Linked DNA regions of Saccharomyces cerevisiae S288C. The gene in region 2 interacts genetically with the main gene of each other region. Each region holds a gene or a part of one and is shown on either strand. Other genes may lie near its edges.

Evidence for each region.
Region 1: mutations in YBR298C-A (region 2) and GSP2 together harm fitness more than expected from each alone (negative genetic interaction), as found in Saccharomyces cerevisiae (one large-scale study listed by BioGRID).
Region 3: mutations in YBR298C-A (region 2) and PSG1 together harm fitness more than expected from each alone (negative genetic interaction), as found in Saccharomyces cerevisiae (one large-scale study listed by BioGRID).
Region 4: mutations in YBR298C-A (region 2) and YHC3 together harm fitness more than expected from each alone (negative genetic interaction), as found in Saccharomyces cerevisiae (one large-scale study listed by BioGRID).

The regions. Positions count from the first base shown.
Region 1 is NC_001147.6:680,933-683,809, reverse strand, and holds GSP2 (Ran GTPase GSP2), read left to right. Parts: upstream 1-1,703; coding exon 1,704-2,366; downstream 2,367-2,877. Other genes in the region: YOR186W (uncharacterized protein), read right to left, coding at 265-699. UniProt on the Saccharomyces cerevisiae protein: GTP-binding protein involved in nucleocytoplasmic transport. Required for the import of protein into the nucleus and also for RNA export. Not essential for cell viability.
Region 2 is NC_001134.8:804,443-807,227, forward strand, and holds YBR298C-A (uncharacterized protein), read right to left. Parts: upstream 815-2,785; coding exon 593-814; downstream 1-592. Other genes in the region: MAL31 (maltose permease), read right to left, coding at 1-33; alpha-glucosidase MAL32, read left to right, coding at 909-2,663.
Region 3 is NC_001143.9:289,851-293,205, reverse strand, and holds PSG1 (Psg1p), read right to left. Parts: upstream 1,754-3,355; coding exon 575-1,753; downstream 1-574. Other genes in the region: AAN1 (Aan1p), read left to right, coding at 1-250; DHR2 (RNA helicase), read right to left, coding at 2,154-3,355. UniProt on the Saccharomyces cerevisiae protein: With EXP1, the specific cargo receptor protein for the plasma membrane ATPase PMA1, is involved in the transport and/or maturation of PMA1.
Region 4 is NC_001142.9:323,294-326,731, reverse strand, and holds YHC3 (amino acid transporter YHC3), read right to left. Parts: upstream 1,769-3,438; coding exon 542-1,768; downstream 1-541. Other genes in the region: BIT61 (Bit61p), read left to right, coding at 1-490; BNA3 (kynurenine--oxoglutarate transaminase), read right to left, coding at 2,012-3,346. UniProt on the Saccharomyces cerevisiae protein: Plays a role in vacuolar arginine transport. Involved in pH homeostasis. May be involved in ion homeostasis together with IST2. Not necessary for mitochondrial function or ATP synthase degradation.

The DNA.
Region 1 (2,877 bases), on a different chromosome or scaffold from region 2:
TGAAAAATCAGCTCCAGCGCGGGTTAGTGGGAAACTGACCAATCAATGGGCAGCCTGTCAATTTCAATGCGGGTAACAGGGTTGTCAGTATAATAGACCCAACTTACTGCTTTATGTTTATGTATATGTATATATCAGAGACCTAATCGAGAATAGAGAAGTGCTCACATATTGCATAAATTGAAAAGTCCTCCAGAGGCGAAGTATATAAACTAAATGTTTTAAATGAGAAAAGCAGCTTCTTTTCCTTTCTTCCACGTAGTACTAAATCATGTCGGAAAGCGATAATTGCTTTTCTTCGTCGTCAATATTACTGGATGGCACAACTTCCGTGGCTTTGTTTTCATTTTCTCCAGGATATCGCGATGTTAGCACAAGCGTGATACAAAGTAGTAAGCAGGCGATGAAGAGACCAAATATGAACCAGGAAAAAGCCATACAGACCAGCTGCAACCTGAATTCTTCCGTCGTCAGATCGTGAGGAATATTTTTATCTTGGAATATGGACGCTGCGTCTTCTGGTCGCGAGTTACCCATTAATCCTAGCTTAATGCTGTTGCCGAAGGCTCGTATGGCGGACTTAAAGTAACCCTTCTCGAAAGGGTGATGCTCATCGCACAGTATCATGACTTTAGAATCTTCATTCGTGGACGAATTGTTTATCTTGGAAATAGCGAAGGTCGTAAAAGCCAAAGTCATCAATAAGATCTGTTACGTAGTATTTGAGAGAAGGAGTAAACTAACCTTGAATTGAGGTCTTGATTACAAGTTGCTTGCTTAGTGACACATTTGACAAGAAAAAACAGTAATACGCCAGAACATTTGCGGCCCCTTTTTATATCAAAAGTGCTAAACATGCTATTTAAGTATTTCTTTTGCTGTTGATACGCAATTTTCATTGCGCTGCTGCAGATGTGGTACCCTTTACCGCACAAAAATACTTCTATCTGGATATTATTCCGTGTACTTGGCGAAGAAGCCATCCCGTTTTGAACGCCATTGCCGCTAACCTCCGCGCTTTCGCTTGCAGCAATGGCTACATCCGCACGGTTCCGCTATTGCCACGACATTGTGGTGGTAATAGCCAAGGCAATGGTGTGTACAACTTACGATCCCTCTGCTTGCGGAAGCAGTCAAAAGGCAAGTGAGATCTACTCTATAAACTGACACTTTATCCAGGGAATTATCGAGAAAATTCTGTCTTGTCAATTAGAGAAGTAAGGGGCCACAGGGAAATAATACTTTCGAAGGGAGTTTCTTTCCTTAAGGAGGTGCAAAATGCAAAAGATATACAGTTTATAGGTTGATACACATAGAGCAAGTGGTCTCAAGTGGTCTTAATGAGTCACGGGAGGTCAAGATGCTCTTTTTTTCTTCATCGTTTCAGTTTTGTATCTTGAGCGGAGTGAACTTGCCCTTTAAGCGGGCCATACCCTTACATGGCGTTAGCACTTATTTTCAAGGTGAATATATACAATGTCAGTTACCCGTTTTTTTGTCTTCCGCTGTATAAGCTTGCTATCATTAAAAGCCGCATGTGGCATCCTGAATTCTGCCACCCCTTAAATACAAAAAATAGTGTAAATGGTACTTGATCTCTTCTGGAGGAATAAACAATAATTCTTGATGGAATTTGAGAGAAAGTAAGTGTTCGGCTAAGCACAATAAAGATATAAACCTGTGACTACCTATATAAGTTCGTAATGTCAGCACCTGCTCAAAACAATGCCGAGGTTCCCACTTTCAAGTTAGTTCTTGTTGGTGATGGAGGTACTGGTAAGACTACCTTTGTGAAGAGACATCTGACCGGTGAATTTGAAAAAAAATACATTGCAACTATCGGAGTAGAAGTTCATCCTCTATCTTTTTATACTAATTTCGGTGAAATTAAGTTCGATGTCTGGGATACCGCAGGCCAAGAAAAATTTGGCGGGTTAAGGGATGGTTATTACATCAATGCTCAATGTGCAATTATTATGTTCGATGTCACATCCAGAATCACTTACAAGAACGTCCCTAATTGGCATAGAGACTTAGTCCGTGTGTGTGAAAATATTCCCATAGTGCTATGTGGCAATAAAGTCGATGTCAAAGAGAGAAAGGTCAAGGCCAAGACTATCACTTTCCATAGAAAAAAGAACTTACAATATTATGACATTTCTGCAAAATCCAATTATAATTTTGAAAAGCCTTTCTTGTGGTTGGCTAGAAAACTTGCCGGTAACCCACAATTGGAGTTTGTTGCGTCTCCTGCATTGGCCCCACCTGAGGTGCAAGTTGACGAGCAACTAATGCACCAATACCAGCAAGAAATGGACCAAGCCACTGCTTTACCATTACCTGATGAAGACGATGCTGATTTATAAAAACATGAAAATTTATATACGAAAATATTCTGCTTCTTCTCACATCAATCTAAAAATTTTTTTTTGAAATTTCTTTTATTTTTAATATATAGTTCTGAAAGTCTATTTTTAAAGAATTAGTTCTTCTCTGTTTAATTGCCACATTGTAATTTTTTTTTGGTATGTTGAAGTTTAACCTGTACATTTCTTTTCTTTTAAATTGAATCAAAGACCAATAAACGGGATCCGATCACAATATGATCGTCCAATAACGCTCCCTCTTGCACTTCACTTACTACTTTATAAACCTAATTTTTATTTTTTACTAGATTCCTTTTTTCTTCCTGCTGGCGCTTTTTTTTTTTTGCCCGTCCAAAAGTTTTCAATGAAAAGTAATCCTCTTGAAAAGAGATACTTCTTTCGATTACAATAATGTTCTTATTCATATACAAATAGAATATCAGAAGATCGGAAACGAGTTAAGATAAAATATAAGAAGAGGAAAGTATTCCCAATTATGTTTTCATTTAAT
Region 2 (2,785 bases):
TTTTCTGTTTATTAATGAGGATAATCCCTTCATAGTTAATTAATAGTCTTGGATGTAATTCTTATTGTTATACTGAATACGCTAAAACCACTCACAACAAGTATGGAGTATATTGTGTCTCTTTATATACTGAGTACTTATGCAATATGCGCTCACTCAGGATGAAATGTACACAGCCGAAAGTATATTGAAAGCTGCCTCTGTGGAAACTTCTATCTAATGTTGTCTCCAGATGTAGACTATGAGGCCTGAAGAAGTCTTTAAACACCTGTTGGAGAGTATAAGGAGACTGCTACAACAACGTCTTCCCCACAAAAATTATGTGGAGGCCGGTATGATACCTGCACAAACGTTAAGTTACACATGAAAAAGAGACTGACATAACTTTGATCTCTGAAAATATGTTTTCCCCTGAGTAGCTTCACTGCTTGGATACCAATACGAATAGACCTTGGCTATAGTAAGTTGCATCTGTACCGTAGAGATTCTTGCAACCTCGCTTAAACTCTCGCTTTTATATAATATTTCTCCTTATTGCGCGCTTCGTTGAAAATTTCGCTAAACACGGGGTTTAAGTTTAAGTTTACAGGATTTATCCGGAAGTTTTCGCGGACCCCACACAATTAAGAATTGGCTCGAAGAGTGATAACGCATACTTTTCTTTTCTTTTTTCAGTTCCTAGCGTACCTAACGTAGGTAACATGATTTGGATCGTGGGATGATACAAACAACGTAAGATGAGTAGTTCCTTCCTCAATTCTTCTTTCAGCATCATTTTCTTGAGGCGCTCTGGGCAAGGTATAAAAAGTTCCATTAATACGTCTCTAAAAAATTAAACCATCTATCTCTTAAGCAGTTTTTTTGATAATCTCAAATGTACATCAGTCAAGCGTAACTAAAATACATAAATGACTATTTCTGATCATCCAGAAACAGAACCAAAGTGGTGGAAAGAGGCCACAATCTATCAAATTTACCCAGCAAGTTTTAAAGACTCCAATAACGATGGCTGGGGTGATTTAAAAGGTATCACTTCCAAGTTGCAGTATATTAAAGATCTTGGCGTTGATGCTATTTGGGTTTGTCCGTTTTATGACTCTCCTCAACAAGATATGGGGTATGATATATCTAACTACGAAAAGGTCTGGCCCACATACGGTACCAACGAGGACTGTTTTGAGCTAATTGACAAGACTCATAAGCTGGGTATGAAATTCATCACCGATTTGGTTATCAACCACTGTTCTACAGAACACGAATGGTTCAAAGAGAGCAGATCCTCGAAGACCAATCCGAAGCGTGACTGGTTCTTCTGGAGACCTCCTAAAGGTTATGACGCCGAAGGCAAGCCAATTCCTCCAAACAATTGGAAATCTTTCTTTGGTGGTTCAGCTTGGACTTTTGATGAAACTACAAATGAATTTTACCTCCGTTTGTTTGCGAGTCGTCAAGTTGACTTGAATTGGGAGAATGAAGACTGCAGAAGGGCAATCTTTGAAAGTGCTGTTGGATTTTGGCTGGACCATGGTGTAGATGGTTTTAGAATCGATACCGCTGGTTTGTATTCGAAACGTCCTGGTTTACCAGATTCCCCAATTTTTGACAAAACCTCGAAATTACAACATCCAAATTGGGGGTCTCACAATGGTCCTAGGATTCATGAATATCATCAAGAACTACACAGATTTATGAAAAACAGGGTGAAAGATGGTAGAGAAATAATGACAGTCGGTGAAGTTGCCCATGGAAGTGATAATGCTTTATACACCAGTGCAGCTAGATACGAAGTCAGCGAAGTTTTCTCCTTCACGCACGTTGAACTTGGTACCTCGCCATTTTTCCGTTATAACATAGTGCCCTTCACCTTGAAACAATGGAAAGAAGCCATTGCATCGAACTTTTTGTTCATTAACGGTACTGATAGTTGGGCTACCACCTACATCGAGAATCACGATCAAGCCCGGTCAATTACGAGATTTGCTGACGATTCGCCAAAGTACCGTAAAATATCTGGTAAGCTGTTAACATTGCTAGAATGTTCATTGACAGGTACGTTGTATGTCTATCAAGGTCAGGAGATAGGCCAGATCAATTTCAAGGAATGGCCTATTGAAAAGTATGAGGACGTTGATGTGAAAAACAACTACGAGATTATCAAAAAAAGTTTTGGTAAAAACTCGAAGGAAATGAAGGATTTTTTTAAAGGAATCGCCCTACTTTCTAGAGATCATTCGAGAACTCCCATGCCATGGACGAAAGATAAGCCCAATGCTGGATTTACTGGCCCAGATGTTAAACCTTGGTTTTTCTTGAATGAATCTTTTGAGCAAGGAATCAATGTTGAGCAGGAATCCAGAGATGATGACTCAGTTCTCAATTTTTGGAAAAGGGCCTTGCAAGCCAGAAAGAAATATAAGGAACTTATGATTTATGGTTACGATTTCCAATTCATTGATTTAGACAGTGACCAGATCTTTAGCTTCACTAAAGAGTACGAAGACAAGACGCTGTTTGCTGCTTTGAATTTCAGTGGCGAAGAAATTGAATTCAGCCTCCCAAGAGAAGGTGCTTCTTTATCTTTTATTCTTGGAAATTATGATGATACTGACGTTTCCTCCAGAGTTTTGAAACCATGGGAAGGTAGAATCTACCTCGTCAAATAAAATTAGTGCCGACTTTTTTTTAGCGCGTACTTTAACGAAATAACAGATGATTTTTCACATGATTTTTGTTAGATAAATTTTTTATATGTAAATGATGATAACGTAAAAGCACTGTTGATAAT
Region 3 (3,355 bases), on a different chromosome or scaffold from region 2:
TTGTGGCACGAACAACTTCTGGAAAATTATGTTGGTGTTGGAACCCTTTTTCTACTACATTGAAGACGTCGGCGGAGATGATGATGAAGATGAAGATAATGTGGACAATAGCGAGGGCGACGAAGAAAGCTTACTTAGCAGGAATGTGGAAGGAGATGATAATGTGGTTGAGCGTCATTTTAAGCCTGATCCAAGGGTCATTACACTGGAAAAAATATGTGAAGTTGCTGCAAGACAGAAATGGATATAAGGAGAAATCAAAGGAAAAGAAGCAAGATCCAGCGTTTTCTTTTGAACCCTGGAGGATGCTGATGCATTCTCTATTTATTTGGTATCAAATTGTCGTACAGATGATTTATATATGTTAATATTGTTCAGTTTACACTAATTTTAATTTACCGTATTTACTATCCAAAGGAGAAAAAAAGAAGTATATGGACTTCAGTATTTATACAATATCGAGTTAAGATAAGTTAAGTAACAAAAAAAACTGGATAGAGTGGTTTTCTATTAGTGTGACGGAAGATAAAAACAGCCCTCTCGAGGAAGGGTGAATGCATACTTCGAAGGGAATCTAATTTTGTTTACTGGTTTTCTTATAAGATGGCAATTCGGTGTACTTGTGATTTTTCATGTTTTTGAATTTCTTCATCTCCGAGAACTTACCCAAAACACGGCGTTTCTTGTTTAAAGCTTTTCTAGTAACATCTGTGAAATCTCTGTTTTTCCCGTTGACATATAAGAAAAAGTACATGAAGACGAAAAATACCACCACGACAGTAGGGATAGATAATGCAACATAATACCACTGATCATTTGTTATACCTGCATCGTCTAAAGCCAGTTGCTCCTTAGTAGGCTTAAACACTTTTGAACCCTTAGTGATGTATAATAAAATACCGTATTGTAGTGGATCGAAATCTTCATCTGATATGTATATTGGCTGAACTGATACAACGATCCTACGATCAAATTGGTCCTGCAGCCATTCATCTCTGACCTCAACCGGCATTAGACCGTTGTCATTATCAATCCATTCGGAAGAGAAAAAAGTTGCAGGGATATCTCTTTTATAATTGCCCTTCTCTACGGGGTTTTCTTTAACATAGGACAAATGAACACGAACCTTATCAGCAACTTTACCGGAATTCTCATCTGTAAAAAATCTTGTATACCAAGTAACGAAGTAAGTCTTGTCAACCTTCCATCTAGAATTCTCATAAGGGGTACAAAATGGCTCACTGCGGATATCCTTTGCTAGACCTTTATTGAAGTAAAGATTAGGAGTACATCTGACAATAGGATTCAGGGAGACGTAGGTGTCATCTTCATCAATATACTCTTCTTCTACAAAAACTTCATTAGGGCCCATATTGTGAGCCTTCAATTCTTCATAAGAATATGTGTGGGAACTTACCGTTTTGAAGTAAGTTGAGTAATCAGGTCTTCCCTTCTTGGTTCGACCTTTGTTGATTTCTGGTTTAATGGTTTTTGGCCTACCATCATGCTCTAAAGATACCCAAGGTTTCAATGGATTTGGTGTTTCTTCTGGTTTTTCAGAAAAAGTGACACCGGCAATGACCGTAGGAGTGACTAATTCTTTTTGACTTCCATAAACCGTACGTAACCAAGGTTTAACTTCTTCTGAAGTAGTCATTTTCTCCTTTGGACGAACGACTTGTCTTGCACCATGAACATGTTGATAAAGCGATGCCAAAGAAAAGAAGATAAGTATACTATCGTGAAATCTCATTATTCCGCAATTCCTTCAGATCCCGCAGAACTGCTTCCGACTATATTGTCTTAACCTTTTTGCTAAAATATTTTGTTCTTCAAAAGTAAAGAATAGCTTGCTGAGAGAAATGCGTCGAATTGCCTTTCTTATTTTTTTCATGATCTTTTATTCCTTTTCAAAATGTCAACGGCAAAATAATATAATTTCGCCCTTTTCCCGAGATAATTTCACAAAAAAAGCCAACGAACAATTCGAAAGGCGTTTAACATGAATATACATATATACCTGTGTATATTCATAAGATATTGAGAAATGAATCCATGAAACTCATACTGCAGTAGTTGTTACGATTTATAATGCTCTATAAATTACATTAAATGCCTTTATATACAATAAAAATGCGCTAAGAGTAGGTGACTTATTTTGAATCAGAAACTTTTTGCTTTGCTACAGCGGCTGCATTAGTGACAACTTCTTGTAACCATGAAAGTTCAATCCTACTAACATTTCTGGCATATCCCTTCGTAGTAAAGACATACTCCGTGTACATTATACCGGGGCAGCTTTTATTCATAAATAGCATAGATGATGGATGAATGCTTATCGGCTCTCCAGTGGAAACAGTTCTATAAGACCTGTCTGGCATCCCTATAGCTGTATTCTTGATAAACCCAGTTAAGAAACACTTTAAAATTTTCGAAATTAGCTCGCCATCTTCACCAATCTTTTTGGATTCTTCATCCTCTTCACTGATTGAAGAAAACAAACGCTTACAATAAACTCTTAACTGGTCTCTGACACGAATTACATTTTTAAACCCACGTATCGAAATACACAATCCTTTACACCAATCATTTCTTTCAGAGCTTGCATCTTGACTTTTCCCTAGTTCGTAGAAATAGATATCAAAAAGCTCTTTCAGCATGATAAGGTCACCATACCTTTTACCAGCGTTGCATAAGGACAAACGACGCTCGTTCACCTCATCTCTTTCTTCTGGTGACGGATTCAACAGTAAATTTTCCACACTAAGGCAAGAGACGATATCAATGACCTGACTCAAACATCCGACTTCACTGGCTTTAATTAAGACACTACTTAAATGCGGTTGTAGCGGTAACAGAGCCATTTGTTGACCCCGTTTAGTTATCTTTCCACGAGTGTCAAGAGCACCCAATTCATAAAGTTCCTGAAGCCCCATTACTATAGCTTCCTTTCCAGGGTTCTCAAACCAGGTCCAGTTTAGCAGGTCATCAACACCATATCTCTTCAACATTAACACAGGAGATGTGACGTCACTTCTGGCTATTTCAGGTTCACTTTGTTTAGGTAATTTCACATAATCAGACTCACAATAAAGCCTGAAACTCTTTCCTTCACTTTCTCTACCAGCACGACCACTTCTCTGCATCGCACTTGCCTGAGAAATGGGTACGGTAAGTAGAGTGGCTAATCCCAGCTGATGTCTCCAAACTTTGACTTTTCGAAGACCAGAATCAACGACAAATTTAACACCGGATATGGTAACAGATGTTTCTGCAATATTGGTACTAAAGACGACTTTTCTCTTGAAACCCTTTATCGGAGCGAAGACCAAGGACTGTTGGACCGCGGGAAGAG
Region 4 (3,438 bases), on a different chromosome or scaffold from region 2:
GGTTAGTTCCCTATACAATTTAGAAAACCAAATTGTTTTTAACTATTCTAATGAAGACACAATAAATAACGCATTGAAAAGATTAGGCGTTATATGGCGGATATTTTATCAAGAGGTATATTATGATTTAGCCGCTGTGTTATTACCGTTGGATCAGAGTATCAGAGAAGATGGTAATTCTACGGTTTTAAAGTCAGGCAATGAAAGTCGGACTCACATTAATGGTAATTATTCTATTGGGTTTCTTTTGCTTATGTGCTTTAGAGATTCAATAGTCTTACCTTGTTATGAAAACTTCGTAAATAGTAACGATGGTATCAGCAAAAGTTTTCAACTTTACATTTTCAATCAAGAAGAAGAAAGTAATGTCACAGAAACAGATAAATTGACATTACTGCAGTGTTTTGGCATATTGAGTACCATTCAAAGTAATGATAGAAATCAACGAATTATCGAAGAGTTATTAGCAGGCATTAGAATGAGTATATAGAAAGCATCTAACACTTTATTTCAATCTCCTATTTAATATCACAACAAAACTTTATTCCATCCTACACCAAGGTCTGTCATCGGCAATTTGATGCCTACAAAGTTTGGGTTCTAGCCCCAAACCAAGTAACGCAGCCAAAAAAACGCCAAAGGAATCAGCGATGGACACAGCACCCATGGCGAACTCTGTTTCATCAGGATCCTCTTGTTCGAGAATATTTAAGAATGTGTTAACATATGACGCACCACCAAGAAAACCCTCATAGAATATTAATATCATCACCGCCCAGGGCGAATGTGTGACATAAAACCATGATTGCAGTACCGTTATGCACAAATTCACACCTTGTAAAAACGCTAAGATGTATAAACTCCTCATTCTCATAAGATGTCCAAAGGATCTTGATATAAAGACACCTAATTGGTAGAGCGTTCCATAGGTTACGTATATATCTCTGTATTTATGGAAGAAAAATGGCATCGATTTACTTCTTTCATCACCATTAATCGGAAATAATAGGGTCGGAGCTACCGCTTGGTTTATTAAATATTCGAATAAGTAGACGGTGGTCAATGGAACCATGTATGGAAAAACCAATCTTCGAAGTCTCTTGACCGTTTGCAAAATGTGCTGTCTTGTAGAATACAGGGATTGCGAAGCGTTGGTATGTGTAAAGGCGACAGGAAAGGGCACCAACTGGTCATCCTCTGCTTCGTCAATTTGTTGAAGACTTTGGTAAGTCAGGTTGGTATCATTGGATTCTAATTTAAAATAAAACAAAAATGCAAATGGAAGGAGACTAAATACTAGTAAAGTTAGCTTCACTGGAACTTTAAAGATTGAAGTTAAGAACATATAAGATGCTCCGCCAATGATTCCTGCACCACCAGTACCTGACGACCATCCATTCAAAGAAATTTGTTTGTAATAGTGTGTTAGCTGTAGGAATGTCACTTCTCCAAATCCGGAAGATATAGATGCGAAAGATATTCCTAAAAGACAAACAAACAAGTTTTTAAAAGAAACTAAGAACATTCCTAAGCAACTCATCGTGATCAAAGACCATATTCTATAGCTGTACTTGATTCTATCAATAAAGAATGGGGAACACAATTTAATGGCGAGTGATGGGAATATATCTGCTAGCAATACTAGAGATTTAGGCAAGGTAGGACCCACGATATCAACAGCTGCTGAAAGTATTACCACATAAAGTACATTATTGATCAAACCAAAGAGCCAAAAGTAGCAATATATCTGATGAGATTTGTCACTCATTTATATTTACTTGCGCTATATCTTCATATGTGTTTAAGTACTCTATAAATACACTGTTCAAAACATTACTAAATGTTCATATTGTCTATTTTTCATTAAGGGTTCACTTTTTCTTGTAGTACGCGAAGAAAATATGGAATTATTCTGGAATATTGATGTTTATATTTACCACTTCTGCATAAAAATATACATGCTTTATAAAATCTATATATTGAGAAAAAGGAGTATAAAAAAAAATTTATCTTATAAGTAGTCCTTGAGTAGTTTTAATCTCTCTACGGCATTTTCTAGATAAGCATCATCTTTACAAACTGCAAACCTTAACAAATTCTCAGCAGCCTTTTCGTGCTCTTTGATATAGAATTCAGTTGGTGGAATGGCAACCACACCTAATTCATTGATCAACCAGTGAGAAATGCGAAAATCTTTTCCCTTATTCAGGATCTCCTCTGGGTAGGGATAGTCCTCGGGAATTTTCACTTTAGAGAAATCAACGAGGACAAAATATGTACCCTCTGGAGCTGTATATGGTAGTCCCAATTCATCAAAGATCGATGTGAAAATTTTGAATTTGTTGATATATTCCTGTCTCATTTTTTCAAAATACCCAATTTTTAAAGCGTCGTTAATAGAGTTTGCACAAGCTTCCTGTAGAGGGGATGGAGATGCAAAACAAATTCTTGTATGTGCCTTAGCTGCATAACTTAACAACTCTGCGTTCAAGGATAAGACCCAACCAATTCTCCAACCAGTAGCAGCAAACGATTTACCGGCAGAACCGACCGTTAAGGTTAGTTGCCCAATTTCTGGAGAGAGTGTGGCAATTCTAGTGAAAGAATCAGTGAAGTAAAGGTGTTCATAGACTTCATCAGATATAATCACAACGTTGTGCTTGACGCAAATGTTACCTAAAGTGGTTAATTCCTCGCGCGTGAAAACTTTACCAATTGGGTTGTGAGGGGTATTGATAATGACAGCTTTTGTCTTGGATGTAATCGCTTTTTCGAACTGCTCAAAGTCAATGGTCCATTCTTCACCTCTAGTATTCCTTTGATCCAATTCCTTTGGAGGATTTATGGGGACGTAAACAACTTTACCACCGCAAAGTTCGATATTTGGAATATATTGGTCAAAGAAAGGTTCAAAAACAATAACCTCGTCGCCAGCGTTCAAAAGCCCCATCAAGCAAGAAAGTATACCTTCATTGGCACCTGTTGTTACGGTAACATTTTCCGCTTTCAATTCTGTGTTATAAATAGGAGAATACAACTTAATCAAGGAATTAATTAATGAAGGTCGACCTCTAGTTGGAGAATATTGATTGACCATTGGAATGTCTAGGGCTTTCTGAGCCTCCTTAATGGCGAATTGAGGAGGGGAATATGAAAAAAAGCCTTGGCCTAAATTAATAAGTTCACGGCCTTGGTTTTTGGAGTTATTGGCAGCTTTTGCAGCGGCTTCATTGGTTAGCGACCAAACATCTTTGGCAGTGTTAGAAGTGAAATATTTGTTGGCAACAACTTTCGGTCTCGAAGTAGACATTAGGTTCGTAAATTGACGAATGAATCGTTGTTTCATTGAGAGCAAGTAACAATGGATTCTATACGCAATTATAGTAAATTGAACACTTTATATATATCTCTATCGTACCTTCCCCTTTTAAACATGAC